Diceros bicornis minor: one gene and its partners. The protein of the gene in region 3 binds, or shares a complex with, the protein of the main gene of each other region. Links are inferred from orthologs where the notes say so. Each region holds a gene or a part of one and is shown on either strand. Other genes may lie near its edges.

Region 1 (10,083 bases), on a different chromosome or scaffold from region 3:
CTCCAGCCTCTGGGGCCAGATGGGAGATGGCGCCCACGGAGAAGCCACTGCTCCCTTCCAGTGCTGCTAGGGGTGGGGGGAGACAGTGGGGTAGCTGGGAAGCCTGGGTCCCATTTCTGTCTGTCTGTGCTTTGACTTCTCAGCTTATGCTGCCTCTACAAAAAAGCCACAATTATTAACAAGCCAGCATGCCAAGCCTGTTGCGCTGCTGAAATAATTAAAGACTCCTCTGGCAACAGTGCTCTGAAAGCGTGCACGTCCAGCCCTCCTCAGCCCCCAACAAAGAGTACAGCAGGCTTCCAGCCTCCCACTGGACCCTGCACAGGGCCCAGGGCCAGCAGTCCGGAGGTCAGAGCCCACCCTTGTCCTGACCAACAGAGCTTCTTCCTGGGCAACCTCACCCAGAGCAGAGAGCCAGGGGATTCTAGTTCAATCAGGGAGCACAACAGCTGGGCTGCCCCCTGCCAGCCCCACGCCCCCCAGCACTCCCCTGCTTCTCCATGCAGTCTACTCAGGACCGCTGAGGCCACGTGTCCTCTAAGCAGGGATCAAGGCAATCTCAGTCTCAAGGTGAAGAGTAGGGCTGCCCCAGACCTGCTATTCTTAAGGGCTGTTTAGGACGGACAAGCGACTACCCTGGATCACACTCCCAGAGAGAAGGAACCAACTCAGGCCCGGGGGCAATCAGTCCCACGCTGGAAGAAGAGGCTGATTTAGGGGGGAAGGCCGACACGAGCAGAGACAGGCCTCCAGCCAGCGGCACTGCTCACTCACCCACCGTGAGACCCTCATTAGTCTCAACTTTCCAGGGTACCTGAAAGTGCTCAAAAAACTGAAGCACTACAAAGCCATAGGGATTATTAGAGAATAACCATAACTTCCCGTAACTTAAGGGCCAGCTGAGGTTGGGAGGCACTGCCCAAGGTTCTCATGTGAAGCTGGAAAGATGGGAGACAGCAGACACTGTGGGTGCGTTGAGCAGCTGCCTAACCCCTCTGGGCCTTTGTTCTCGGTGGAGCCTCCCCAGGGCACCTGAGGCTGGGGATCTGGGTGGAGGGGGGGCCTTGCCATCTGCCTTACCGAACTTCGAGTAGAAGTAGCACTCGGGCATCTTGGTCATGTCGTACTCGTGCAGGAACTCGCACTGGTCTCCCTTCTTGCAGAGCCCCCGCAGCCAGTGTTTGCACACAACTGTTTTCTCACCGCTGATGTGGCGGAATGGGCACATGCCCCCTGTCAAGGAAGACACGGTGGTGTAAGGAGGGAGGCGGCCCTAAGCCCAGGGGCACTGGGCCAGGGGAGCCGAGGTGATTTCACCCCACATCTCCCCCAAGCATCTGAAAGCAGCACGTCCTGGAAGGTGGTGTGGGTGCCGCTGGAAGAAGGCAATGTGATTTTAGGCAGTTCTGTACATGGGCACATATTTTAAGTTTTAATAGTTACGTATTGTATTTTAAAGTGTTTTGGAAAGAATCGAAAACATCAAATCATTTCACAGATATTACTTTAAAGTGGAGGCTTAACAATCCTGGGGAAGAGGATGAGTTTATCTCTTAATTTACTTAAAGAATAGTTCCAGGGGTACGTGGAACTTGTAGGGGTGGTAAAAGAAAGCCCAGGGTGTGGGAAACACAGCCCTAAAATATAGAAGGTAAAGAGGACCACCAGCAGAAGCCTGGACCCAAGGCAGGCTCCATCTCTTGTTAAAAGTGTCCACTTAGCCTCCAAGAATTAAGAAAGATCAACTTCAGAACTGAAGAAATGTGTTGTATACAAACTAGGGGAGGTCTGCCTTCTGTAGCAGCATCTGAGTGATCATTACCCCAGATGGGACAGAGCCATACCCTAGGAAAGTCATATTTCTAACTAGTGGCCTGGCAGGACTCCTGGAAGGCCTAACCAGAATGAGGCTATGACTGGGAAAGATCTAGACCAGCCCTATCTAACAGAACTTTCTGCAATGATGGGAATGTTCTCTATTTATGTTGTCCAATATGGCAGCCACTAGCAATACATGGCTATGAAGCACTTGAAATATGACTAGTGTGAGTGAAGAACTGCGTTATTTTATTTTAATTAATTTAAATTTAAATAGCCACATGTGCTATATCAGTTAACACAGACAGTCGTAGTGCCCCATGTTAAGGATGGCTGCGCTAACAGAAGGTGGCTGGTCAGAAGGGCAGAACAACCAAGGGAAGAGATGAGAATGAGACCAGGAGCCCAGCGGGGGAATAATGTCCCGACCAGAGGGCCTGAGGTCAAGCTGGCTGATCTACCCAACCAGAGGGCCTGAGGTCAAGCTGGCTGATCTATCCGGCAGGTCTATCACTTTAGTGGCAGATGACTGAGATTAGAATCAAAACTTGAAAAATCATCCATTAAAACCAGCCCCCTTGCTCTAATTCTCTGCTCCCTATTCAAGCTTCTGATTAAAATTTAGTTTCCAGATAAATTTGCCTACAGAAAGAAAAATGCCCGGTCCTATACATGGCACGTAAGGTCTTGCCCAGTGATACTTATCCTTATAAATTAGTGGACAGTCTGCTCATTAGTGGATAGTGCAGCCTCTGTTAAGGCCTGGTCAGTATGAACAAGACTCCACGAGGGGCCAGCCCGGTGGCGCAAGTGGTTAAGTGTGTGCGCTCCGCTGCGGCGGCCCGGGGTTCACCGGTTCGGATCCCGGGCGCGCACTGACGCACCGCTTGGCAACCCATCCCCAGGGTGGTGGGATTCCTCAGGAGGAATGTCAGGAGCCAGGGGTCTCTTACCTTTGCCACAGGCAGCTTTCAAAAAGAACTCACAGACAGCAGCCCCCGACTCTGGAGAAAGGAGAGAAAAGGAGAGGCATCAAACAAAGCAAGCTGCGACTGCTACTGGTGATGTCTCCAGACAGGGAGGGAAGCCTTCTGGCCCTTAACTCACGAAGGGTTCAGGATATAGGAAACAGACAAGCAAAATAATGCCATGTCCCACCAAGCAAGGAAAAAGCTTATTTCAGCCATTCCCTGCAAAATGAGACATATACATTGAGACCAGTCATTACTCCATGCTTTCTGAAAGCCTTCTATAAGCAAGACGCTTTCAGGGAGTTACAAGTGGGTGGGAGAGGGAAGGATGGAGCACAAGATCACAGAAATTAATTACCCCTAGCTCGGACCTTCCAGAGGGCTAATTCACCGGCACTTTAACGTGAGGCAGGAAGCACAAAAAAGCAAATGGGGACTCTGAGGAGGGACAGGCTGCAGAGAAGAGGCGAGTGCCTCGGAGACGCTATTCTGAAAGGAAAAGCATAATTTAAGACACAGAAGGGGCCGGCCGGGTGGCGTAGCGGTTAAGTGCGCGCGCTCCGCTGCTGGCGGCCCAGGTTCGGATCCCGGGCGCGTACCGACGCACCGATTGGCAAGTCATGCTGTGGCGGCATCCCATATAAAGTGGAGGAAGATGGGCACGGATGTTAGCCCAGGGCCAGTCTTCCTCAGCAAAAAGAGGAGGACTGGCAGATGTTAGCTCAGGGCTGATCTTCCTCACCAAAAAAAAAAAAAAAAAAAAAAAAGACACAGAAGCAGGACTGCTCTTAATATGCAACATCAACACACAATTATTAAAGGAGCACAGTCTCTTGCTTACACAGATGCAGCCGGTTCAGGAGAGGGGTACAGGAGAATAAAAGCTGAACATGGTAGAAGTCAGTGGGCTCCAGGAGTAAGCTGTTCTAACGACACCAGAAATTCACCTGCCATGGCTACCAGAATAAACTGTCGTGGCTTCAAAAACAGTTTTCTCTATCAGCAGGCATTTTAGAATGGCTGAAAACCCACTGACAGCATCTCTGAAGGCCATTTACGTGCCTCTCCTTGCTAACTTGCACGAGATTCCTTGGCTTCTTAGAAGCAGGCAGATTTTGCTAGGACAGACTTAAGGTTGTAGAACTGGGAGTCATAACACTGTCATTCATTTGCATTTCAAAAAGTCTAAAAAGTCTTACACTAAAAAATGTATCACTTAAGAGTATTTCTGGGCCTTCGTTCTTTTCAGAGATTAAGGTTGCTTCATTACTTAAAGCCAGAAGTCTAGTGGTTTCAGGCGGACAGGATAAAAGAGCATGCCTTGAGGGCAGAACTGACAGCTCTTCCCAAAACTAAGACAGGAATGAAGTGCAGGGACAAGGGAGGAAGGGCTGTGGCCGCCCTGGGCTTTAACACAATGAACTCAATCTGAGGGCAGGCAGTGAGTGCTGAGGGCACCTACCAAGTCTGAGGTGGGAGGCTAGGGCCATGAGGCGGGAGGCTAGGGCCACACGCATGGCTAGGCTGTCCTTGACCCTCCCTAAGAATAGGTGTGTGGGCCCCTCGCCACTGTGCCTGCCCTCACAGACTCAAGTATCTGTGGTCCCAGGCTGAAAAAAGGTGGGAGGGAAAGAGCTGCCCTGCATGGACCTTCCATGGTCTCAAGCTAGTGCCACCAACACAGGAAAAGGCCACGTGTGCCCAAGTGGATGTACGTGTACAAGCATGAGGTGATCACATGCATCGAAGGGTAGATAAATAAGTGTGTATTTGAATTTGAGCAGTTCCTTATAAGACATGCACAGTGGAGATGGTGCTTGTGCACATATAAAATAAGGTTGTTTGAGGTATGTCTCTTGGGTATAAGCAACATCTCACACAGAAGTGTCAGCATGAGGGGGACACCTGAGGCCATGTGTGCAGAAGTGCACTTGAGGGGAATAAGGCTGCAGGGAGTCTCTACCAGACCAGGGACCGGTGGTTGAACACGGGCCAAAGTCCACTGGCAGCTATGTGAGACAGCACAGGGAACTGCAAACAGAACCAGTCAAGAACTCTGGAGAGCTTACCCAGCTCCCCAGGCACTGAGTGGTTTTCAGCCAGTCCCTTCCCCCACCCAGGCCTCAGTTGCCCCACCTGTGGATTGAACTCAGCGACTTCTAAGAGCCCTCTGAGCTTTAATGTTATAGCGTCAGACATCAACTGTATCCGCAAAGGTGAGAAGACAGGAAAACTGCTGGTTTCTTTTAAAGTCCTAGACATCCCACCTAAGTGAGGGCGTGGGGGAAGCAGGAGCCACCATGTGAAGGAGAATGGAGGGAGCCCAGGCAACTGCCCAGGTGTCATGAATGACCCAGAGTTGGGGTCCAGAGAAAAAGTGGGGATAGGCTCCCAGAAGTGCGAGTCCTAGGAGAGGAATGGAGCTTGAGAGTCTAACTGTGGGTCTCCGACAGAGAGGGAGAGGTGGTCCTTCCCTCAGCATGAGTCATCCAATATCCCAATTGGGATGAAAACAAGAGGAGGGCGCTCAAAGCTGGGGGGGGCTGGAGGTGGGAAAGGGGGCTATCTTAGTACTTTCCTGTAGTTAGGGGGAGGAGGGAGTAACTGCCAATCCGAGATAGCCGCCTTCATTCAAGAATTCTTTGAACAAGAGGACATGGTCCTGCTCTCCTTAAGATTGCCTTTTAAGAGCCCAGAGGATCGACGATCCGAGGAAACGGCTCTGGAGTCCGAGTGCAGGAAGAAGGGGATCCCAGGACCGGGGGGAAAGGACCCCCGGGACCGAAGGGGAAGAGCTCCCGAACCCGGGGGGAAGGCGTCCCGGAACCCAGAGAAGGGGATGCTGGGACCAAGAAGAAGGTCCCGAACCGAGGGGGAGGACATCCCGGAGCCCAGAGGACGGGCTCCTAGGACTGAGAGGGTCCCGGGACCGAGTCGGTCGCGCCCCTCGCCCGCCGGCCCCGGCCCCGGCCCCGGCCCCGCGCTCACTGTCCATGCCGGGAAAGGGCAGCGGCTGCGCCCCGAGCTGCTGCTCCACCGCGATCTCCAAGTCGAACTTGATGTGGTCCACGCTGGCGATGATTTCCTGCATGGCGGCGGCGGCGGCCCCACCGGCCCGGCTCCCCTTCAGGTCCCTCGCCGCGCTCACACCTCTGCCTTCCGCCGGCCCGGCCGCACACGCTCCGCCACCGCCTCCCCTCGCCTCGCCTCGCCGCCGCCGCCGCCGCCGCCGCCACCGCTGCCCGAGGGATGCCGGGAGCGCCTGGAGCCCGCGCCTGCCCGTCGCCCGTCCAGACCGGGCCAATCGAGCGCGGAGTACGGGCCGCTCCGCTAGGCCCGGCTAGCCGCCAGCCGAACGCCCGCCTGTCCTCTGGGCCGCGGGTAACCTGAAACCACGTGCACGGGGAGTTCGTGACGCGGGCTGCGCTTGCGCGAAGTCGCCTGGGGCGCGCACCAGAGGTGGCGGGGAAGGAGAGTAGGCTCTGCGGCGCGGCGAGGCTGGGACGCCACTGGGGGTGACGCGAGGCCGGGCGGGGAGCGAGGCGGTGCCGGGCGGGCGTGGGGCCGCGTTCACTGGGCCGGACTCTTCGAGCGAGTTGCTATTTGATCCGGAGCCCGGGACCTGGGCGGGGACAGGCCAGAGAGGTAGCGAGTTTCGCAGCCGGGGTCGGAGCCGGGGGCGCCCGGTGAGGAAACCAAGGCTCTGAAGGCCAGTGTGGACAGGGGTCCCGGTGGCCTGAGGGTCCGGGGAGCGTCGGCGGGCAGCGGGTACCCAGAGGAAGGACAGCGGCAGCGTGCCTCTAATTCAGGGGTTATTAGTCTGGGCAGGTTAATGAACTTGGGTAGGAAGAAAATGACACCTTTATTTTCTCTGTGTGAAATGGAGCATTGCTTTCCGTGACTGACGGACGAGTAGCGTTAGCTGTGCCCGAAATTAAGTCGTGATTTCAAGTGGGGACGAGTGCAAATGATAGTTGGAGACAGAGTATCTGCAGCCACTGCAAGCTGTCATTTACACTCAGCACTGCTTTGACATGATGGGGTCTTGTTATTTAATGCCTTGAAAAAGAAGCACGGGGCCCGCCCCCGTGGCTTAGCGGTTAAGTGGGTGCGCTCTGCTGCTGGCGGCCCGGGTTCGGACCTCGGGCTCGCATCGCCGCACCGCTTCTCCGGCCATGCTGAGGCGGTGTCCCACATACAGCAACTAGAAGGATGTGCAACTATGACGTACAACTATCTACTGGGGCTTTGGGGGAAAAATAAATAAATAAATAAGAAAAAGAAGCATGTATACTAGTATGCTATAAGTTTGTCTTTAAAACATTTTGATACTTATTTCAACATCATATTTGAATGAGGCACAGGGAGATCAAGTAATGGGCCCAGTCACAGCTCTGGCCAGGACTCAAACTCAGATCTGGCTTCAGTGACAGATGTCGTAGATCATGGCTTGAGAATAGTTTCTGTCCGTGGACTGCTTACTGTGCCAGCAGTGTACTGCACTGTGTATATCTGAGACCTCGTTCAGTCATTGCTACAGTGCTGTGTGGGCAACGTTGTAGTTAACCCCAGTTTACAGGCAAGGAGGCTGAGGCCAGAGCAGTGAGTGCCCAGGGACTCATGGATGGTTGTTTGGCAGAGCTGCAGTCTGAACCTAGGCTTTCTAATCTCGGTCTGGGCTTGTCACCACTTCTCTGTCTTCTTTCTGCTTTTTGTGACTGCGATCCTGAGTTGACTTCATTATTTTTTCTGACCTTTGTCAGGCCCTGGAGGGGAAAGCCAGAGATGGACCTCGTGAAACTTGCCCAGCTCTTCTCCCGCCCCCACCCCGTGGGACTGTCTCTCCTGCAACACCTTGACCCTCTCAGAGCCAGGTGGGCAGGAGGCAGGAAGAGGCCTGCATGGCTGAGGGCCGTGGGGCTGACTCGGCCAGCGCCAGCAGCCTTCAGCAGCTCCCTCTCTCAGCTGCCCGTGGGCCAGGGGAGCCAGAAGAACACGGGCAGCCTCAGCTCTGACCCCAGCCAGCCCAGCCCCACAGCCACCCAGGAGGAAGACGGGGAGGAAAGCTTTGGGACCCTCTCCGACAAATACTCCTCCCGGAGAATGTTCCGCAAATCGACGGCCCAGTTGTATAACCTGCGGCTCAGGGAACAGAGTGTTGAAGAAGACGAGGCAAGGGAGCTGGAGCCAAAATCATGGCGGGGCCGAAGAAACACCCCTTACTGGTACTTCTTTCAGTGCAAACACCTGATCAAGGAAGGGAAGGTGAGGGAACCTGTGGATTCTGCTGCTCCTGGCTCCTACTTGCCCATGGCTCGGTATTCTGTGAGGGGCCCTGCCTTCCCGATCTCTGAATGTTGGGGTGCTCAGGGCTCTTCTCTCCTCTGTCTTCACTCACCCCAGGTACTGCGCCGGGTGACCCGCCAGCCTCCTGGCTTTCAGTGCCAGCCTCCTCACTGCAGTTCTGGTATTTGTATCTCCAGCCTGGCCTTCCCGTGGACTCCTGATCTGTGTATCCAGCTACCTCCTCGCCATCTCTCTTACACCCACCTACATCCACCGAGATTGTTTTTCCCAACCTTGTTTTCCCTATACTTTCTTCATCTCACTGAATAGCAATCCCACTGTTGCATCTGCCCAGGCCAAATACCTTCAGGTCACCCCTACTCTTCTCTTTCTCTCACTGGCTCTAGCTTCAAAATGTCACCAGTCCTAACGCTTCTCATGACCCTACCCCAGAACACCCAGGCATAGCCTTCTCCTCGCCCTCCTCAGCTGTTACAACGCATGGCACTGGGCTCCCCGAGGCTCTCTCCTCCTCTTGCCCCGCCGTCAGCTGGCAGCACGGAGTCATCCTGTTAAAGCAGAAAGCAGATAATGTTACTCTTCTCTCCAGAACTCCCAGTGTATTCAGTGACATCGATGATGTTCACTTTCTTAGATATTGATAATGACATTCCGTTTCTATTTAAAAATCTCTTGGAGGTATGTGTTGAAGATTTTATGAATGAAATGATAGAATGTCTGGAATTTGCCTTAAAAAATACAGTTTGGGGGAGAGTGCAGGGTATAAATGAAACAAGATTGGCCAAACTTTATCATTGTACACTCTTCTTCACCATCTTATACTCTTCTTTCTACTTTTGTGTATGTTTAAAATTTTCCATAATGAAAAGTTGAGAAGTAAACAAAGAGAAGCCAAAGTCCTCACAATGGCTTATGAAGGCTGCAGGATCTGCCCTCCACACCCCTTATCTCTCTGCTCTCATCCCCTCTGCCTCACTTACTCTGCTGCAGCCACCTCAGCCTCCTCTCTGCTCCTCCAACTCCTAGGCACACTTCTGCCTCAGGGCCTTTGCACTGGCTGTTCCCTCAGATAGCCATATGGCTCCTTCCCTGGCCTCCTTCAGATCTTTGCTCATCTGTCAACTTCTGGGTGAGGCCCTGCTTGGCTGTCGTATCTAAAACTGAATCTCCCACACCCTTCTTCTGACACTTTTTGCTTTATTTTTTACATAGCACCTATCACCATTTGACATAGTATATATTTTTCTTAGTTATCTCATTTGGCGTCTGTCTTTCCACGCTAGAAGATGTACTCTATGAGGGAGCTCCCTCTTGCTCACTGCTGTATCCCCAGCATATAGACCTTGTCTGGTACCTAATAGGACTCAGTGATTACTGGTTGAATGAATGGATGAAATAAGATAATTAAGTGGTAAAGGAGTGAACTGAGGCTTTAAAGGGGATGGTGTAGGAGTAGGGATGGGGCAAAGACTACTGTGGGCCAAAGGGGTTTGCAATTGGAGGAAGCTAGTGACACAGGGCTGCCATCCTGTGCCATCTCAGGAGACTGTCGCTGTGATCGTGTCACAGCCCCCTGTGATCGTGCAGCACAGTGGCTCTGAGCATCCCTACTAAATGACTGGAACCCAGACTCCCATCAGTTCAGAGCCAGGGGGCTGGCACTGCAGGTGGGGTCACCGAGGAAGCAAGGGCAGGCAGATCCTGGGAGTCACAGAATTAACATTTTCTGAGGAGTTACTAAGTGCCAGGCCCTGGCTCCACTCGAGAGCCACAGAGATGCAAAGACATGGCCCCTGCTCTCAAGGAGTTCACTGTCCTGCTAGAGGGAAGGCAGCCGTGGCAGTAGGGCCGAGAGCTCCTCTAGGTGGTGGGTGTCCAGTGGGCTTTTCTTCCTGGCCACCACGAAGCTCCCTTGCTGCAGAGCACAGGGTGTTTGGCTCCTGGGTAGGCCTGGTCTTGGCCCCAGGGGAGGGTACCTCAGCCTCAG
Region 2 (10,083 bases), on a different chromosome or scaffold from region 3:
CTATGGGGAGAAACAAAAAAGAAAAAGAGGAAGATTGGCAACAGATGTCAGTTCAGGGCCAATCTTCCTCAAAAAACAACAAAAAAAGAATCACCCAGAAAACTTAAAAAGAAAATAAAAGGCTCAGGCTACACTCTCAGATTTTGATTCAATGGGTATTTTTAGAAAGCTCCCTAAGTGATTCTAAAGTACAGCAGAATTAAGAACTGTTGCTCTAGTGTCAGTCTTGAAACCTACTAGTCCACCTACATTTTCACAAGTTTATCAAGACGGCCATTAGTCTTTTTCATCAAGGACGCCTGCAAAGATCTTTCTGATTAACCCCCTTCACTGGGGCAGTCTACCCTCTTTAGGGGCTTATATATGGATTCTAGAACATCAAGAGGTCATGAATGCCATATAACCAGGTTTTAATGTTAAATAGACACAGCCACAAAGAAAGCTCTTCCCTAATCAGTTTTCTAAAGGACACTGAAAAGGAATCAATCCCACAGCAGTGTGAGGAACTTTACTCTTTTGAGATAATTTTTCTCCTCTTTTCTCAACCTTGACATAGAACGTATTATAACAGAGGTATGAACGATGATATTTAAAGGGAAAAGCATCAACTTAATTTTATCTTACGTTTCAGTGTTTTGACACTCTGTAAGTCTTAGGAATTTTCTTTAGTACCACTTGGTGGCATAAAGCTCTGCACTGATTTCTCGTAGGGAGGGTATTGCCAGAGCTGGAGAGTACCTTCACGCCTGCGATCTCAATCATGAACATGGCAGCTCCAAGAACATGGCCTGCGTGGTAACACCAAAACTTGATTCCTGCAACTTCCTTAACTTCATGAAAGTTGATGGTTTCAATTTTGTCCATGCTCTCTTCCAGATCTGTCTCAGTATACAGCATGTCGTCCGCTGATATATTACTAAATTTTTAAAGATGCCAACAAAAAGAATTAAGGCGAAGCTTTTCAAAAAGTCTTTGAACTCGAAGAAATTGTCTGTGGATGATATATCCACAAAGTTATTTCTTAAAATTATATTGTATGGATTATGCTATTTAGTATCTCTTGGACATTTTGTGTATTTTTTTACTCTGCAATTATAATAAAACTGTTTAGTGTGCACAACTACAAAGCATGATTTTAAGCAAAGCACACAGTAAATTAAGGCAAAATCCTCTTTAGGAAAGTATTTCTCAACCTTTTTTCCTGCCCTGACACTCCTGAGAGATAAACTCACTCACATACATTGAACCACAGCAGAGATTCTCACACCAGGATGTGAAAAGCTTTCTCTACAAAGTGCAGCATAAGTTTTCTCCTGAAAATTATACTAATGTACCTCCAAAAAAGCAAGAGAGAGTAGTGGTTAAGGATACAGACTCTGGAGCCAGATTGCTTGCATCCAAATTCTAGCTTTGTCTCTTACCATGACCATCATAGACAAATCACCTAACCTCTCTGTGCCTCGGTTTCATCATCTATAAAATGGGATTCATAACAGAACCTACCATCATGAGACTGCTATGAAGATTAAATGAGTTAACATACACTAAGAACTGAGGACTGTGCCTGGCTGTGGTAAGCATTATTTAAGTGTTAACTAGCATAATTACTACTAAGGATAACTCTTGCATTCTTTTGCATTTATATATGAAGAATAACAAAATGCATCTTAGCTACCCTTGGAATATATATATCACACAGTAAATCTTTGAAGGCTAATAGTTTGTGCTGTAGGTATCAAAAAACGCTCCAAACTTTCTGATAAAGGAGAAAATTTTCTTCTTGCAACTGGAAAAAACTTTCCTACGGAACTTTTTCATTTAAGATAGTTAATTTACTTTGATCAAATAACCAAAAATAAGATTTCAGTATATATCTCTGTATAATGTATTTGGTCTTAAATTTTAATAAACTTATGAAATTCTATTTATAGAATACTGTTATCATACATCATAACTCACCTAAATTATAAAGATTTAAAAGGACGTAAAAACTACATAAAGACTTTAAGGCCAAGAAGGTGCTGGGTAGACAATGGGTATTTGATGAGTTGTTACTGAATGACTAAATTAATGACATTCTTGTGAATAAAAAGAAAGTGTCTTATTTCAAAACGCAAAATGGTCCGTATCTTGAACCATATGTATTATGTAGAATCAAATGCATGTAATTTACCTAACTTTGACGTAATCTGAAAGAAGCCATCTATAAATAGCTTTTGTGGCATGAGTCATAAATGTTCTTCCTTTGAAACTTGTCTTCTGCAGAAACCAGGGCAAAGCTCCACAGTGATCCAAATGGAAACTTAAAAATAAACAAAGAGATTCCGTCAATTCTTAAAATAGTATCCATCATATACTATACAACAGGAAAGTTCTATGTAACAAGTGCATACTGATACTTTCAGAACACCAAGTGTAGCTACCTGCAGAGGGAAGGAATAACGCATCCCGTCCTAGTGTAAGAAAAAGATAGTAAAAGCATTTTTTAAACATCAAAATACTCTATCACTGATAACTAGAGATGGAAGAATATACCCAAACCTACTCTCTGCAGCTAGAATTATCACAAGTACTTTAGTGGTATAAAGTTGAAACATGTCACTGTTTTTAAATGAAATTCCTATAGAATGTGACAAGATAGTGACCTCAAGGAGATATTCTGGGAAAGGGCTTTCTTGGTCTCAAGTTTTACAGTGGTCCAAGGCATGTGCTATCTCCTTCTCACTTACTCTGGAGGTAGGAAAGTAAGGTTTTCTTAATAAACTGCTCTAACCTGTGATGACAATATGGAGTGTTGTCTTAGACTTCGATGGCTGCAATATGCTTCCTAGTAGAAAATACTGTTTCCAAACACCAGAATCTTACAATCTGGTAAAGAATGATCCTTATCATTCTTATCATCAGTAAAAGTCCTTGAAAAACAGTGTTGTTAATAAAGGAAAAAACTTACTGACTAATTAGCAAGAGATCAATCTCAGCTGGGTCAATTAAATCGATATAAGGAAGAGCATCCATTCCTTCTAGTCCAGGGTGAATCCCACAGTCCAACTGAAAGAGACAGAAAAACAGAATCACAATCTCCTACACAATTTATTAAAATTCATCCAATAAAGACAATATTTATAACCAATTCATCACATACATAATCAAGATGGACTCTATACTCTAGCATTTGGAATGCAATTATTACTAAATGTGGCAAATATGCCATTAACAATTCTAACTTCCCAAACAAATATAAAAATATAGCTGACATTTAGGGTCACAGGACACAAAATACAAGACATCTTCTTTCCAGCTACTTTTTGCAGTCACTCTAACAATGAATGAACTCTTTTTCAGAAACTTGGATATCAGAAGATGGTGGGCATTTAAAAAGTTTATAGATTTACTACTACCAGATCTGACTATTATGAGGAGACAGTGATTAGAAACAGGAAACTTCCCTGATCAGCGGAATTTAAATATTTTAAGGCATTAGGGAATAAATTCTTAAGAGTCAGTCATTAGTGAGTTACATACTCATTTTTTGGATGTTACTACCAAATTAATATAATAAATAACTAAAAAGACAACTATGTCTGACTTAGGCCTGTTCTTTTAAGATTGAGAGAAATAGAGAGGTGGAACCAAAGGAACATTATGAGCCACTGAAGTGCCTTTCCAATGAGGATCACAGAAACCATCTCTTCTAATCACTCCATCTTTCAGATAAGGAAATGGGCTCACACTGCCTTGCCCAAAGTCAGAGGCCCTAATGCTAACTTAGGTAGCTAAGCTGCCAAACCAGGGCTCTATCATCACATGCTGCACTGGGGTGGCTGGAGCTCTGCATGTTTTGGGGCAGCCAGTTCCTTGAGGCCTTCCACTGCAGGTGGGGCGGTTAGGTTGGCTAGACCCTCCAAGAGTTGAAGAAGCAACAGTTCAGGAGAGAATCTTGGAATATATCTTCTCGGTTTACTTAACGTTTTGTCAAATTACTAAGTAGAAGTGTGCATTAGTTTTTCACATTAACATCACAGACTATGTATACCAACTATGACACTATTCTGGGAGCTAAACAGATAACTACTGTACTAGAAAAAACCTAACACCCAATGCTGACAGAGCCATACTGTTAACCTGACTACAAAATAATAATTACCATTATTTTTCTTCCTTTGAATTCCAGAATAATACATGATCTTCCTACTTCTTGCCCAGCTCCACTGTAAACATTCAAGGGGAGAAACAGAAATGAGTACAAAACAATCAAAATCAAGGCCAATAAATTCAAACTTTTTTACAACTTAAATTATGCCCCATTTGATGACAGCACTTGAGGCCGATGAGAGTTATACAAAAATACAAAGACAGGGAAGAACATGTCAATGTGGGAAAAGATGAAAAGTGATCTTTGGGAGTTCAGGGATTTTTCAGTTGTTAAAACTGAGAGAAGATGGTACAGATCCGAGAAATCTGATGGTTAAATTCAATCTTCTGAATGTTAGGGTTAATTATGCTGTATTCAAAATATAAGTTAGCAGTGATACACGATTATTTAATAATACTTTTAGAATTAGCACTGAAGTATAAACCCATAAGCACTTCAAAATTCTTTCATTTTCTTTAATATCCTAATATGCATTTACCAAATAGCTTAAATTTAAATAGACTTATCTTATTCATACCTGTGAATCTCATTCCCTTTCCTTTCTACTTTCTGTTATTTCGTATATTTGATACCAAGCACTTAAACAATCTTCCTTCCTTCTTAAATTAATATAACAGCCTTAATTTCCAATTATCACAAGACTTTAAGCTAAACCTCACCTGGTTTTCAAATCTCTCACCTCCGTTGATGTCTTTCCCCAACTATTCTAGGTTGAGTCACTCACTCATGCAACATTAAGCAGCTTCTATTTGCCAAGCACTGTATTAAGTGCTGAGCATATGGAAATGCCTAATACTAGGATCCTGGCCTCAAGAAACTCACAGTCTACTAGGAGATAGACATGAAAAGAGATCTACCCTCAAACCGAGGTCCTACCTCTGAAGAAGATGTAAACAAAGAGAATCAAACAGCCATAGTGCTATCACGAATTCCTGGCCTTCCATTTTTTTTTTTTTAATTTTATTTATTTATTTCTTCCTCCCACGCCCCCAAAGCCCCAGTAGATAGTTGTATGTCATAGCTGCACATCCTTCTAGTTGCTGTATGTGGGACGTGGCCTCAGCATGGCCGGAGAAGCAGTGTGTCGGTGCGCGCCCGGGATCTGGACCCGGGCCGCCAGCAGCGGAGCGTGTGCACTTAACCGCTAAGCCACGGGGCCGGCCCATGGCCTTCCATTTTAACTGGCCCTCTATGCACCCTCTGAAGCGTCCCTAGCTCAGTTTTCTTTTATAGTTTCCATAGTAACGATTTCAAGCTTCCTCCCCTTTCCTAAATTTTCCAATCCTCTATCTTCTTCTTCACTTGGGGCATGGACCTTCTCTGCATCAAAAAAATATAGTTCGTTTGTCAACTTCCTCAACTTTACTTACCAACCCACCCACATCTTTTCTCCTTCCATTTCTCCTGTAACAAGAGCACAGACCTCTCTGTCTAAAGCTAATCTTTTCACCATGGTTCTACACTCTATACACTCCCTCCTGAGGAACTGAACACTGCCATATCATCAACATTTCCCTTGCCATCTTCTCTTTACTATCAGAATTTAAACATGCTACAGTCATTCTCATCCCCACATTAAAATCCCTTAATTCTAATCTCCTTTAGTTCCCACTTTATTCCATTTCCCAGTTTGCTTCCTAAAAGAGCTGTGTACACTCTTTGCCTCTATGTCCTCACCTCCACTCACTCAGTTCACTGCAATCTGGCTTTTCCCAAACACTCCTCCGCGCGCCCAGGATCCGAACCTGTGAACCCCGGGCTGCTGAAGTGGGGCGCAAGAACTTAACCGCTACGCCACCAGGCAGGCCCCCAAAGCAGCTCTTTGTTGCTAAGTACAAACAGCCTTTTTCAGTCCCTCTCTTACTTCTTCTCTTGGCCGCCTGTCACCCTCATTCATCATTCCCTCTTTAAGCACTTCTCCATTGGTTTCTCTGACTTCTTGCTCTCATCCTGTCCTGCTGGTCTTCCTCCAGTTTCCTTCACACTCAGCTGTCTCTGCCCACCCTTCAGATGTTGATATTCCAAAGGTTCTCTCCTTGGCCCTCTTCTCAGTCTTCGTGATCTTCATTCTCATGTTTTTGACATGCTGATGATTTCCAAGTCTGTATTTGTAGCCCTCATTGTTCTTCTGAATTCTAGACCTCTAATCTACACCTGGGCTTTAGGTATCTCTCCTGGGATATCTCACAGGCACCTTAACTTCAAATACGCCCAACCAATCCCCTGCACTTGCTCTTCTACCTTCCTGCAATGCTCTGCCCTCAGATACTGACATGATTGGCTCCTTTGTATCATTTGGGTCTCAGTCCAAATGTCACCTTCTCAGAGGCCTTCTCTTGACTACCTCCTCTCATTTGCCCTTCACACCATTCAATCATAACACAACTACATGGAGTTATTGTATCTACCTATTTATGGCTTGTTTTTCACTATTAAAACGAAAGCTCCATAAGAGCAGAGACACTGTCTATTTTGTTCACCCTACTTATAGCTACAGTGCCTGACATGCAGTAAATCTCAAGAAATACTTATTGAATGAGTAAAAAAGTCCAAATTATGAACGTTGGAAACATGCTAAGTGAAAGAAGCCAGTAACAGAAGGTTACATACTGTAACCCATTTATATGAAATGTCCACAACAGGCAGATCTGCAGAGATGGAAAGTAGATTAGTGGTTGCCTAGAGCTAGGGAAGGCGAGGAAGATAGGTGTGACTGCTAATGGGTACCGGGTTTCTTTTCAGAATGATGAAAATGTTCTGGAATTAGACAGTGGTAATGACTGTAAAACTCTGTGTATATATTAAAAACCACTGAATTGTACACTTTAAATGAGTAAGTTGTATGTGACATATCTTAATAAGGCTGTTAAAAACAACAAAACTCCCAAATTTCCTCCAGACTTGCCCCATCTCCTGTACTCCTTAAGGGAATAACATGACCACGTACCAGTTGCCTACCTAGGAATCCGAGTCACCCTAACATTCCTCTCTGCCCTGCCTTCCCTCCCAACTGCCCCTTCCAATGCATCTGATCAGTTACAAAGTTCTAAAGGTTTCACTTCCCTACTCTCTCAAACCTGTTTCTTTCTATTCCACTGTTGCTCATTTCACTCATTCCAAGCTCTCACTGCTTATTATTTCAATTTCATCCTACTGGATTCCCTCCACTTAATCCACCCTTTCATTCATCTGCTGCACTGCTGCTAGGAGTGATCTTTGATCTTCATAAAACATAATTCCCACTATATCCCAACCCTGCTTAAAATCCTTTGTTGGCTCCATACACCTGACGATAAAGGCCTCAAATCCTTAGTACATATAAAAAAAGCCCTTCATAAGATGGACCCTGATAGCCTCTCCACCTCATCTGCTAATCTTTCAGCCACAGCCATGAGGAAACTCGCCACAAACTGTGACCACTCTCATTTTCACACGTGCCACTTCCTCTACTGGAACATCCTTGCCCCCACACTTTACCCGTCCTTAATTCCTTCTCATTCTTTAGGACTCAGCTCACGCATCATATTTTCCAGGACGCATGAGATGGCATTTTCTTCTCCTCATTCTGTTAGAAATCCGTTTTTCACACTCTCACGGCACTCAGTGCAACGTCCATCTATACTCTTATAACAGTTACCATTTACTGAGCACCGACGTGACCTTTACCCCTCACAATAAACGTTGCTATATTATTTTCACGTGAGGAAACAGGTTCAGTGAGGCTGCTGTCCTAGTAAGTGATAGAGCTGGGACTGGACTTCAGCTCTGACTCCAAAGTCATGCTCTCCTACTATTCCAAACTCTCTCCAGTACTTTTCATTTTGCACCGCAATTCCATTCAAAGGGTGAATCCAACTAACTCAGCCTCTGTCCTACTTATATCCCCAGCGCCTAGTGTGGTGCTTGACACTTGCTGGGTGTTTGCTGAACACAGGGAGAGGTGACAGGTGTGAACTAAGCAGTGGGAAACTTGTGTTATGTCCCCAGGAGGTGCTCAATGAGTCCTTATTGAATGAACGTGTAAAGGAGATGCTTCCTACCTTTTGAAAATGCACATTCATGTGGTGCCAACTAATATTTAACAACAAACACGTTTGTGGATTCGAATTGCCCATGGAGAGGCTAAGTTCTCCACATTTATCTCCCTTTCTCAGCAGCATTCCAGATCTGTGAAGTGCTCCCGACAGAAGGCCATCTCCATGGAAAGACCAGCCTTCTTCCAGACAATCCAGGGCTGAGTTTTTGTCCTTACCACCTCTGCTCTTCTCTCCAACCTTCTACCTTCCTTATTCTGCTAGACTCCGAAGTCAGAACATCAAAACTCATAGCAAATCCCTAATTTATTTCCTCTCTCACATCCTGGCAAATGTAAAAAGTCCTGGAGGTAGCAAGCAACAGACTGAGTTCCTCCTCGCACTGCTACAGCCTTATCCAGGTCCTCATCTCGTCCTGCCGTCATCAGCAGCACCGGTTCCCTCAGGGCTGGCCACTCTCTAGGTACAGGCGTCCAGGGCCCCAAAGACCGCCCCCCAACTCCAACATTCTCTCCCCTGAGCTTGAAGAAAAGCAAAATCCCAGTCAACCTAGCACGCCCCTTCCGATCAACAGATCTCCAAACCCCGTCAGCCAGGCTGCGGACCAAGGGCAGGCGGCCGAGGCACGCCGGCGCGGGGGCGACTGAGGAGCCAACCACCGGGTTACTCCTCGCCTCTCGCAGCCCGCGGCTTGCTGCCCTCTCTCACTGGTCCCTTACAGGGGGCGGATCAGCAGCTGGTCACTCTCTTCAGCAGGGATCGCAGACATCTCGGAAGTCTGAAGGAGAGACTAGGCGAGGAACAGGTCGCTGGAGCGTTCCTAAATTGGAAGCACAGCCACCGGGACCCGCAGACAGAACGCCATCCACCAAGAACACAACTTCCGGCACTCCGGCGCCCGCGGCACTAGGCTCCTCCCCTCCACTTCCGGTCGGAGATCCCCGCTCGCGAGGTTCCGCCCCACAGGAGGTCAGAAACCTGGGGCGAGGTCAAGACTGCGCCTGCGTGACGTGCCGGAGGCGGGGCCTGGCGGTAGGGGCCAGGGGGCCCGGAAAAGCTGGCGCTGGACTAAGCACTGGAATGGCTGCTGCGACGGCTGCTGCTGGGGCGGTGGGTGTCTGACCCCGACCGCAGACGACCCCAGGGATGGGCCAGCGGCTGTGAGGTGAGAGCCCTGCCCTCGCTGCGCCCTGGCGGAGCCTGGCCGGGAACGCGGGCCCCGAGGGCGACGCCGGCGGGGAGGCCCGCGGTGGGGCGGATGGGTGGGGCCGCGGGGGCCGCGGTCTCCGCGGGGACCCGCCCTCCTCTGGTCGGGGACCCAGGCCCCGAGGCGGCTTGGGGTGGGCGGCGGGAGCCGAGAGTGGGCCCGGCCTGAGAGAGGAGGCAGTGCCCCGGTGCCGATTCCTGTCTGGGGTGGGACCGCAGCACCTGTGACGACGGATGTCGTGTGCGGAGCGGCCCCGTGGGAAGGGCGACGGGAATGGGGCATCCGCGGGGCTGCTGCCCGTGTCGGGCTCTGCCTTGTGGGGCGGTGAGGAGCGCTCACTTTTTGTGCCGGCTCCTGTTGGTTTTCCCTCCGCGTCCACCCCCATCCCTCACTGCAGAGGGCAGAGGTCATGTCTGTCCTGTTTACTGTCATCCTGCGCAGCAGCACGTGGGAGGCGCTCACAACAGTGAGGAATACGTGGGGAGCAGGGTGGGCTCTGGAAAGAGCTTTGGAGCTAGTCTGTGTAGGTTCCAGACTTGGTCCCACCCATTATTAGCTTGGAGACCTTGGGCGAGTCCCTTAATCTCGTAGCTTTGGCTTCCTTATTGAAAGGGGCTGTAATAGGGTAGCCTTGCCGGTCTGCAGTAGAAGGGTTAGAGGTGCACAGTAGAGCACCTACACTGGGCTGC
Region 3 (10,083 bases):
GAGGAGATCAGCCCTGAGCTAACATCTGCCAATCCTCCTCCTTTTTTTTTGCTGAGGAAGACGGCCCTGGGCTAACATCCGTGCCTATCTTCCTCCATATCTTCCTCCACTTTATATGGGACGCCGCCACAGCATGGCTTACCAAGCAGTGCGTCGGTGCGCGCCCGGGATCCGAACCAGCGAACCCCGGGCCGCCGCAGCGGAGCGCGCGCACTTAACCGCTTGCGCCACCGGGCCGGCCCCAAGTTCTAAGTTTTTTAAATGTCGAAGTCCTCTTTCCTTCCATAATTAGTACAATACTGCAAACATAACTGAATTTTTCTTTCGTGGATTAGGATCCTTTTGTATCTTATGGTCATTATTCTGAGAACCAATTTTCAAAGTCTAGCATCAAAAAGCTATAGAAAGTATCCTAATGTGATCTGACTGCAGAACTTTCACACGGAAGGTTTTTCCTCTCCAAATTCTTACAAACTTAATCTTGCTCTTTCCTAAAATTAGGGTACAAAAATCGCTACTGAGATCCATAAGCCAAGTAACAATTAAAGTTTTGCTGATTTCAATAAACATAGCTTCTAAGTCAATCAAAACTTTACAAGTGAAAATGGTCACTGTTTGGCTCTTTGGCATAAGTAAAACTAAGTCTTTGCTACAAACTAAATAAGAGCAGAAAAGCAAACACTGTGGAACATCAAAATGGTATTAAGTGTAGAAAAGAGAAGTTGATTTAATAAAAGTCTAGAAATATGAGAAGTAACTTACTTCCTCAGGGAATCTATAATATCCATAGAAAAGTGCTCATCCCAGCCACAGTCTAATAAAAATCTAAACTCATCAACTTGGAGAAGATAGCAAAGAGCAGACTCTTCTTGGACCCCAGAGAGGGTGGTTAATTTGATAATAGATGTCATTTTCTTGGTCCAATAACAACAATCCAAAAGCTTCCTTCAAAAGAAATAAAAATATAATTAAATATAAAAGCACTGTCTAATATACATAATAGACAAATTAACTGAAATTATACCAGATTTCTAAGTGCACAGAATTTCCATAAACATGGAAAGCAAAGATTTTAAAGACCCATTTCCATCACTGCTAAGTTTCAAGGTACAAACATGATCTTACACACTCTGGTTTACAAAGAGTCCTTCAGTGGCTCCCCAGTGTGGTTTAATAAAAAGCAGTGGACTTTGGAATCAGACAGACCCACAATTGAATCTACTCCTGTGTGATTCTTGGCAAGTTAATAAACCTTTCCTCACTCATGTATCTCAGTCTATAAAACATAAGTATTAATATATACATAAAAAGGATGCTCGAAGATTTCAAATAATGTGTAAATTACCTAGAATAGAGACCACCAAGTTCCTCAATAAATAAATGTATACCGAATTAATGAACTCATCTTTCAAGGTGAATTTGTTCACCTTTATTTGTTCTATGATAGCAGTGATTACATTGCATTACAATTGTTAGTTTAGAAGTGTTTCTCTCCTATTAGACCACCGGTCCTTAAATAAACAGACTCCCTTGAGAATCTGATAAAAAGCTATGGACTCTTCTTTATCCCCTCAGCCCTCAAAAACAAAAATAAAAACGGCAAATATACACATAGAAATTCACATACTTTTCAGAAATTCACTTTACTTTTCAGGAAGTTTAATGTTAAGAACCCTTGCACTAGAATGCGAGAAACTGAAAAATAGAGATAGTATCTTATGTTTGCAATTCCTAAAAAAGAACTTGACACACAATAGGTGTTCAACATTTATTTGATGGCATGTATGTTGGGATGCCTACTAATATATTTCAAGAAGATATAACATGAACACATCTATTGGGATTTAGGACCTAGAATTGCGTGCTATTAAATAGAAGTTATAAAAATATTCATTGGCAAAGCAGAGCTCCACAGCAACATTTCAGATCTTAGTGACTTAAAATAAATTAGCCTTTCCTGGCTAACCATGCAAGTAGGAGAGGTCACTGCATACCTGATGATCTACCACCATCCGCCCAAGGTCATATCAACAAAGTAAGGTAAAGTGACTGCCCACCTTCCATAACAGGCTATCAGGAGACTCATCCCACCATATCTCCCATCTTTGTTCTCCTCAGTAACGCCAAAAAATCCAAGACTCCTAGGTTTTCCATTATCACTCATGTGTACATCTCCTAGTTGGACCCAATCCCCTACCTCTTCTCCCTCCCAAATCCTTCCAGTATGCCCTCTGCAACTATGATTATACTCACCTGTTAACTTCAACCTCTTTCTGAAGGTTTTCTTCACCTGCTTACCTTCACAGACACCCGGCTTTTCCCAAATGATACTGTTTCCCCTGCAGCCTTCTGAAGGCTTTTTTTCCTCTTGTACTCCCTGTACAGTAGTCCCCCCTCATCCACGGTTTTGCTTTCCGTGGTTTCAGTTACCCGAGGTTAGCCAGTCTGAAGATATTACATGAAGAATTTCAGAAATAAACAACTCATGAGTTTTAAATTGTGCGCCATCTCTGAGTAGCGTGATAAAATCTCATGCTGCCCCACACTGGCCCACCAGGGACGTGAATCATCCCTTTGTCCAGCATATCCACACTGTATGTGTGTATACGCTACCCGCCCATTAGTTACTTAGTAGCCAATTCAGTTATCAGAATGACTGTTGGAGTATCACAGTGCTTGTGTTCAAGTAACCCTCATTTTACTTAACAACGGCCACAAAGCGCAAGGGTACTGATGCTGCCAATTCGGATATGCCAAAGAGAAGCCATAAAGTGCTTCCTTTAAGTGAAAATGTGCAAGTTCTCGACTTAATAAGGAAAGAAAAAAATCATATGCTGAGGTTGCCAAGATCTACAGTAAGAAGGAATCTTCTGTGAAAATGTGAAGGAAAAAAATTTGTCCTAGTTTTTCTGCTGCACCTCAAATATGTATGTATAGGAAAAAACATAGTATATATAAAGTTTGGTACTATCTGCGGTTTCAGGCATCCACTGGGGGTCTTGGAACGTATCCCCCTGGATAAGGGGGGACTACTGCACCGCAAAAGCAGGAGGTATGTGTTCCTTGCTCCTCACTGCAGCTTCCAAACCATGTCTTCTCCTTCCCCCTTCAAATACTCCAGTCCCATCACAGCTCACGCTACCCAGCTAGTTCACTATGAGCCTTCTCCACTTCCTCATCATCGCTGGTATGCAGTAATCTGACCTGTCATTGAGGACTTGAGTTCCTGACTCAGCCTTTTTTTTTCAGGAGCTTCAATACTGACTTCTTAGTCCCCTGACTTTCTCAACTCCAACAATCTTCACTTCACTTCAGCCACCCACAATCACGTTTACACCCTAGACCTTATCACTACCAATAAGCCATGCCACTTTCAAAATTTCACGTTCAAGCACCTCACCCTCTCACTACCACCTTACTTACTCTAGCATTCCCACTGCAAAAATCCTTTGGCCTCACTGGTATCTCTAACCCACTGACCACTTTTTCACTATCCATGACCCCCTCCTGTCTCCATTCTTGTCTTGCCATCAATCCACGATCCCTCAGGATTATTTTGCAAACACTCTCAAGTACCTTGATGCCCTAGCCCTTCTCTGTACTAGCGTGGCAAAACCCCAACCCTAACTGACTCCAGTCCTTCACTTTGTCTTTTCCAGCAGCTGAACGCTGCCAAAGGAAAAAACCCAATCACACAACTGTGCTGTTTGCTCTTTAAATTCATGACCAAAGATCTCAAACAGGCACTAAGCGCTACCTATGAATCTGATTTTTCTTAGTAGGTTGACTTTCCATCTCTGAGACTGTTATTTCACATCTCTTCTCTGCTCAAGCATCATGTACCACCCCCTCCACCTTACTCAAAGCTGGTAATCTCACTTCATTCTTCAATTAGAAAATAAAAGTAATCAGACAGTCACTTCTCATCTTCCAATACCATATCTACTAACCTATTTGCGTGTACACTGCTGTGTCTCCTATTATATGGAATAAAGAGCCCTGCTCTGGTCCAAGGCCAGTGTCCTATGTGTGCTCTGGATCCCATTCTCATTTACCTTCTCAAGGACTGAACTTCCTCAGTCATTCCTTCTTTCCCCTGCATCATCTATGTATCATCGATGCACCATTCCTATTAGCATACAAAGATACTCTAGAATTTCCCAACTTAAAATAACCCTCTCTTAATCCTACAATCCCTCCAACCACTTCCTCATTTCTGCTCCCCTTTCACAGCAACATTTCTCAGAATATTTGCCCACAAACATGTCTCCACTTTCTTTCCTCCCATTCACACCACCAAATCTGGCATCTTTCCCCACGATATCCTAGAAGTGCTTTCACCAAGGTCACTGACAAACCTCTATACAACTTAGGCCAATGGACATTTCTCTGGCCTCAACTCTCTGGAAATCACAGCAGCATTCAGTCAAATGAACTGCTCCATCCTCCTTGAAACGCCCTCCTTTCTCTGCTTTTGTGTCAACCCTCTCTTGGCTTTCCTTCTACCTAACTGGCCACTCCTCAATCTCCTTTGTTAATTCCTCTTTCGCTCTTCAGCCTCTAAATGTGGCCATGGTTTTCAGCAGGACTTCTTTTCTTCTCTTTCTAGGTAATCTCACCCAGTTCCATAGCTTTAAATATCATCTGATCTCTGATGGCATCGTCCTTGATTCCTTCCTTTGCTTCCCACATCCAATCCATCAGTAAGTACTGCATTTTTTGCCTCCATTTTATTTCTCAAATTTCCTTCTATCTCCACTGTCACCAAGACCTCTAACTAGTTTGTCTATTTTCCCTGCCTCAAACTTAATTCTCTCAGACACAGTTTTCTGACCACCCTAACGTCCTTCCCCACCTCAGTTACAGCCTATGACATCATTCTAACGCCCTCAAAATACTTCCTGCTTTCTATTCTGGCAACGTCTGTGTTTACTCTCCTTGTCCGTCCTCTTCTCTCTTCCTAACCCCTACACTAGAATATGGACTCCATGAAAGTACAGACCTTGTCTATTTGGATCAGTTATATTCCAGTGCCTCCATAGTGCCTGACACAGAGTGGCGGTCAACAAATGCCTCTTGAATAAATGCATGAAGCATGACTAGTATTACCTGAGCTTAGTGCCCTCACCACACTATTAACAGTTACCTATTTGCATGCATTTCCCCTTGCTTGGGAGAGCTCTCTGAGTGCAGGACTAGGCTTGATCTATTTTTGTATCCTTACTATATTAGCACGTCTTACACATAGTGGTTGGTCAATAAATTGTTGTTGAAACAAACAAGTTCAAATTAAAAATATACTGACTTAACATGTTCCTATTTGTCAGGTATGAGAAGTACAAAGATACTAATTCTCTATTTGATGAAAAATGTTTATAAATATAATTTTGGAAAGGACCTAAGAAATTCTCACTGCCAGAAAGCTTCCTGTACCACAATTATATTCATGGCCTAAGAGAAACTCTTTTTCTACTGAAATCTACCTTAACTCTCACTGTCTTTATTTAGATTACGAAGTGAAAATAAAAAGTATCTTGCAGATAGAACTGAATGAGTTCATGTTAAATTTTTTTGCAGACAGACCCAGATTTCAACAGATGAAAATATATTTTTATTACAATTTCTCATAATATAATAAAACTATATCTTTATTAGATATTCATTACTTACTGATATCTCAGTCGTATATCGGATGAAACACCATGAATTCAAAGGAAGAGTTCTTTATAAATCTAAAAAGTGAAGAAACAAGGGTCTCATGAACATGGTATAACAATTTACTTCTGTTATTAATTATGGTGTTTAACTTCTATGTCTTGTTCTAAGATGAACACTGTGAGCAGCAACAAGTAGTATAATATATGGTCCTTTTTTAAAAAAGAAACCATAATTTTAGGAAGTTTAAGCTTACATAAAACAAGAATAAAATAATAAAAGATAATAACAAAAGACAAAAATAAATAATAATGAACCAAATTAGTTATTATCAGAGGCTGCAATATGCAGTTTAGGAAATAAGATTTTAAAAATTGACATTAGTTTATGTTACAGGGAATCATAAAGAGGTGGGATCTTAAAATATTTGTTAAGGGTTGGTAGGACCTGGGTACAAAGAGACAAAGAGAAAAGGTACTCAAAACAGGGGAATAACACGATCAAAGGCACAAAACAAAAATTTACAGAATACTAGTGAAAAAACTAGCCTGGCACATTTTCATATAAGCAAAAAATGAAAGAAAAGGCCTAATGCATAGAAAAGGGCCTGATAATAAAAGGCCTTGGTAACTTTGGATCTAGCTCTACAGGCAACAGAGAAACATTTTAAGATCCATTATCAAGTAAGAAGATGACATGATACAGGCAATTCTGTATTTTAAGAAAATTAATTGATGTGTATGACTGATGAGATAAGAAGATACAGAAACCAGGGAGATAAAAGGGGAGAGTATTTAGCAGACCACTTCCTCCTTTCAATTTTGCTGGTTTTATTTTGAAACTAAATTTCTTTAGCCTCAAATGTACTTTATAATTCTATGACATGAATTCATTAGTCGTTATCTAGGTAACCAAGGTCTGAAACTCTACATGTTTGATTCCTTCTTTTACTTCTTGAACAGTGTATTACCTACTGCTGAGCATTTTTCCCTCAGAATGCCCGGCACACGTATCATTCCCTGTCCATTCCTACTGCCAGTTCCTTAATGCAGGGCCTCATTACCTTACATTTGGGTTCTCTGTTTGCCTCCAGCCTTTCCTCCCTTCATCTTAACCTAAATATTTCTGCTAGACTAATCTTCAGAAGCACCCCTGCACATATTATCCCTTGCCCAGAAATCTCTGAAAGGCTTCTTACTGCTTGAAAAAACTAAAAACAAAAACCTGAATGCCTTAACTGGCATTGAAGGGAGCAGCAAGGCCCAGCTCAAATTCCACCTCCTTCCTAATTCCTCTATCATTAGTCTAGGCTACAGCAGCTCTGTCCAACAAAAACATGATGCAAGCCACAAATGTAATTTAAAATATTTTCACAGCCACAGTGAAAAGTTTTAAAAGTGAAATTAATTTTAATATATTTTATTTAACTCAATATACCCAAAATATAGTCATTTCAACATGTAATCATTATTAAAAAATAATTGACATATTTTATCTTCTTTTTTCATACTAAGTCTTCAAAATCCACTGCGTATTTTATATTTACAGCACATCTCAATTTGATCTAACCACAATTTCAAGTGCTCAACTGCTACATGTAGCTTGTGGCTACTGTAATAGCACTGGTCTAGACTCTTAAAATCGATGCTTTGGACCGTAGAACATTATCCTCTGCCACTCCTAAAGTGCAGGTTGGCACCACTCTATATTTGTTGGCACCACTCTATATTTATGTACATGTCGTTGGCTTGATTTTAATGGAATCACCAACCATTTAGTCTCCAGACTAAAAACTCTGGAGTCACCCTCTTACCACCAAATTGGCTGCCCCCAGTTGAACTCTATTTGACATTTCAGACATGTCTCTCTGACATCCTTTACTATCCTACCTCAGTTGAGGCACTCATTGCCTTACCTGAATGATTGCCATTTCCTCTCATCTAGTTTTCCTGTTCCAAGTTGACCCTCCACACAGCTGTCAGAGACCATCCTAAAATATACTCATGCCCCTACCTTGTGCAAAGTATTCACTGGCTTCCTGCTAACTAATGAATTAAATCTGAACTTCTTAGTTGGAAATCAATGTCCTTCACAAGTTGATCTCAACTTTCCTCTTGCTTCACCAACCACCCCTGCACTGCATGCTCAAGCACATATATTTTCCCTCTCCCTAAGTACACCAAACTTCTCAAGTCCCTGCATCCCTGTACTGCATCCAGGAATGACCTTCTCCTGAGCCTAGTAAATTCCTTTAGACCCTTCATGACCCACCTCAAATATTTACTCCTTTACAAAGCTTTTTTGGTGTCCTCAGGCCGTTATTTATGTTTACCTAGCACAAAGTAGGCACAAACAATATTTGTTGAATGTATTGCCAAAGAGTAAAAGTGATCATCTTTGGGCAATACCAAGCATAGTGCTCAAAGCAACATAAATGTGTACTGAAAGATGGAATGAACCCTAACCATACACATTCCTTCACGGCAGTGATTCCGAGCATTACTACTTCATCTCAAAGATCTATCGCAGTTACTTGCTCTCTCAATAATGACCTTGCTTGTTGACGCCAACTAAGAGGAACTATACAAAATCCAAGGGAAGAACGAAGGAATCTGGGTTGGCTCTCGAGCTCACTAAGCGCGAAAAGTTTCTCCCTGGTCAGTTCGGGGAGGGCAGCAGTTTCCTAAAAGGTTCAAAGGGATTGTAAAATTTAAAAGCGGGGGGGGGGGGGACAATTGATAACTCAGATTCCCCTGGGCACAGGGGGCCAGACTTGCCGGGTTATGGCTAGTCTGACTGCTGTTTGCTGAAGAGCGTGCACAATGCAGTGATGGTGGAAGTGATGGAGAGAGGGAACTGGAGGGCCGAGACGGTTTTAATAAAGCACAGCGACATCTAAAAGGTCTTCGGAGTCGATTAACTAAAAAGGACGCCCACTTTGCGCCCACCGCTGGGTAGCCTCGTGATCTCTCAACCCGAGAGACAGGAAGACCCCGAGCGAGAAGGCTGAGAACACGGTAACGACGAGCCAAAGGAGCAAAGCTGGCGTCGGATTAACTCCTCCTGCGCCGAGACTGAAAGGGCGAAGGGAAACAGCAGCAAGGAAGGAAGGAGAGCCTGGGAGTGAGCCGTACGGTCTGCTCCAAAAGCCCGAGAGCTTCAGACCCCTGGAGAAGCCACTTCTCTTTCCCTCGCTGGGCACTTCTGCCAGGAACGACCAGGACAGTCGCAACCGAAACCCCGGGAGCACGTCCCCAGAGGAGACCCGGTCGGAGTTGGAGCCAGGCTCTCCCGGAGGGCCGAAGACGCCCCCTCCCCCATCCAAAGGCGCACTTTCTTCCGCCCCCACTTGCCTCGTCAGTCCTCCCCCAACGCCGTCCACTGCCCTGCCCAACCCCTAGTCGAATTCAGGTTCAAGAGTGAGAAAAGCTGACGTTCGCTCAGCACCATCCGTGAAGATCCGCCAACAGAGGCCCCTCAATGGCGGCCGCCATTTTGAAACTGGAGGCGCACGGCTGAGGCGGGGAAGACCCAGGGTGATACCATCTTCGAGGGGGGTGGGGCCAAAGCTATAGGAAGGAGGTGGCGCTTACACCAACCAGTCTCGTTCTCTGGGACTGAAATTTTATCTTTAAGTAATTTATGATGTGTAAAAGCTAAAATAATTTGAGAAATATCAAACATGAAAAGGAAGAAGAGGGATGATTTCCCGTGCCGCCCCTCTCTTCGAGCGGGCGCGGCGAATGGTAGGTCCCGAGGCCGCAGCTTCCGCCGGCGCCGGTGGCTGGGTCGCCACTACCCTAGGTCGTGGGGTCGTTGCTGGCACCGAGGCCGCAGGTGGGTCTGGGGTCGCAGGTTGTGCAGACGGGGAGGGTGCGTCTCCAGGAAAGACCTCTGTGTGTGTATGGGAGGGGGTCCGGGCCTCGCCAGGGCCGGAGCGGCCCAGGGCTTCCTGAGGCTTCCAGCGGAGGAGACGGGGAAAGGGAAGAAAAATAGGGGTTTCTTTACGGTGGGCGGCTGGACTTTCGTTTCCGCCTGGCTGCTTTTGGAAAGAGTACTCTGAGGATGTCATAACCGGAAAACTTCTTTAGCGATCACCTGGTGACCGCCCCTTGGGCGGACCGGAGAGGAAACCGGACGGGCTCCCGCTCCTAGGCTGAAGCAGGGAAAGGGCTGCCTCTCCGCGAGCATCTCTGCTTCTTCCAAGTTGCAGCACTCTGTCTTCCTCGTTACTCAGACATGGAAGCTAACCTCGCTCTCCTCTAAATCTCAAACCCTCTTGAGCCGACCACTCCACAAAATATGCACTTTTTAAGAACGTAATTAAAAGAAAAAAGTAATATTAATTTGTAAAGTGTGTATGTCGTTAAGAAAGAATTCCAGACCTCAAGCAATTCAGTTTCTTCATACATCCAGCACTGTTCTTTA

What was found.
Region 1: CPSF2 (region 3) and CPSF4 share a complex: the UniProt entries of both Homo sapiens proteins name them as parts of the cleavage and polyadenylation specificity factor (CPSF) complex. The link is inferred for Diceros bicornis minor from reciprocal best matches to the Homo sapiens genes CPSF2 and CPSF4.
Region 2: CPSF2 (region 3) and CPSF3 share a complex: the UniProt entries of both Homo sapiens proteins name them as parts of the cleavage and polyadenylation specificity factor (CPSF) complex. The link is inferred for Diceros bicornis minor from reciprocal best matches to the Homo sapiens genes CPSF2 and CPSF3.

Annotation. Positions count from the first base shown.
Region 1 is NC_080765.1:7,257,098-7,267,180, forward strand, and holds the start of CPSF4 (cleavage and polyadenylation specificity factor subunit 4), read right to left. Parts: upstream 5,997-10,083; 5' UTR 5,881-5,996; coding exon 5,778-5,880; intron 2,823-5,777; coding exon 2,772-2,822; intron 1,234-2,771; coding exon 1,081-1,233; intron 1-1,080. Other genes in the region: PTCD1 (pentatricopeptide repeat-containing protein 1, mitochondrial), read left to right, coding at 7,410-8,054. UniProt on the Homo sapiens protein: Component of the cleavage and polyadenylation specificity factor (CPSF) complex that play a key role in pre-mRNA 3'-end formation, recognizing the AAUAAA signal sequence and interacting with poly(A) polymerase and other factors to bring about cleavage and poly(A) addition.
Region 2 is NC_080751.1:70,605,800-70,615,882, forward strand, and holds the start of CPSF3 (cleavage and polyadenylation specificity factor subunit 3), read right to left. Parts: upstream 6,705-10,083; 5' UTR 6,228-6,704; coding exon 6,157-6,227; intron 4,209-6,156; coding exon 4,145-4,208; intron 3,049-4,144; coding exon 2,951-3,048; intron 2,303-2,950; coding exon 2,174-2,302; intron 917-2,173; coding exon 739-916; intron 1-738. UniProt on the Homo sapiens protein: Component of the cleavage and polyadenylation specificity factor (CPSF) complex that plays a key role in pre-mRNA 3'-end formation, recognizing the AAUAAA signal sequence and interacting with poly(A) polymerase and other factors to bring about cleavage and poly(A) addition.
Region 3 is NC_080763.1:37,945,996-37,956,078, reverse strand, and holds the start of CPSF2 (cleavage and polyadenylation specificity factor subunit 2), read right to left. Parts: upstream 5,735-10,083; 5' UTR 5,671-5,734; intron 946-5,670; 5' UTR 912-945; coding exon 763-911; intron 1-762. UniProt on the Homo sapiens protein: Component of the cleavage and polyadenylation specificity factor (CPSF) complex that play a key role in pre-mRNA 3'-end formation, recognizing the AAUAAA signal sequence and interacting with poly(A) polymerase and other factors to bring about cleavage and poly(A) addition.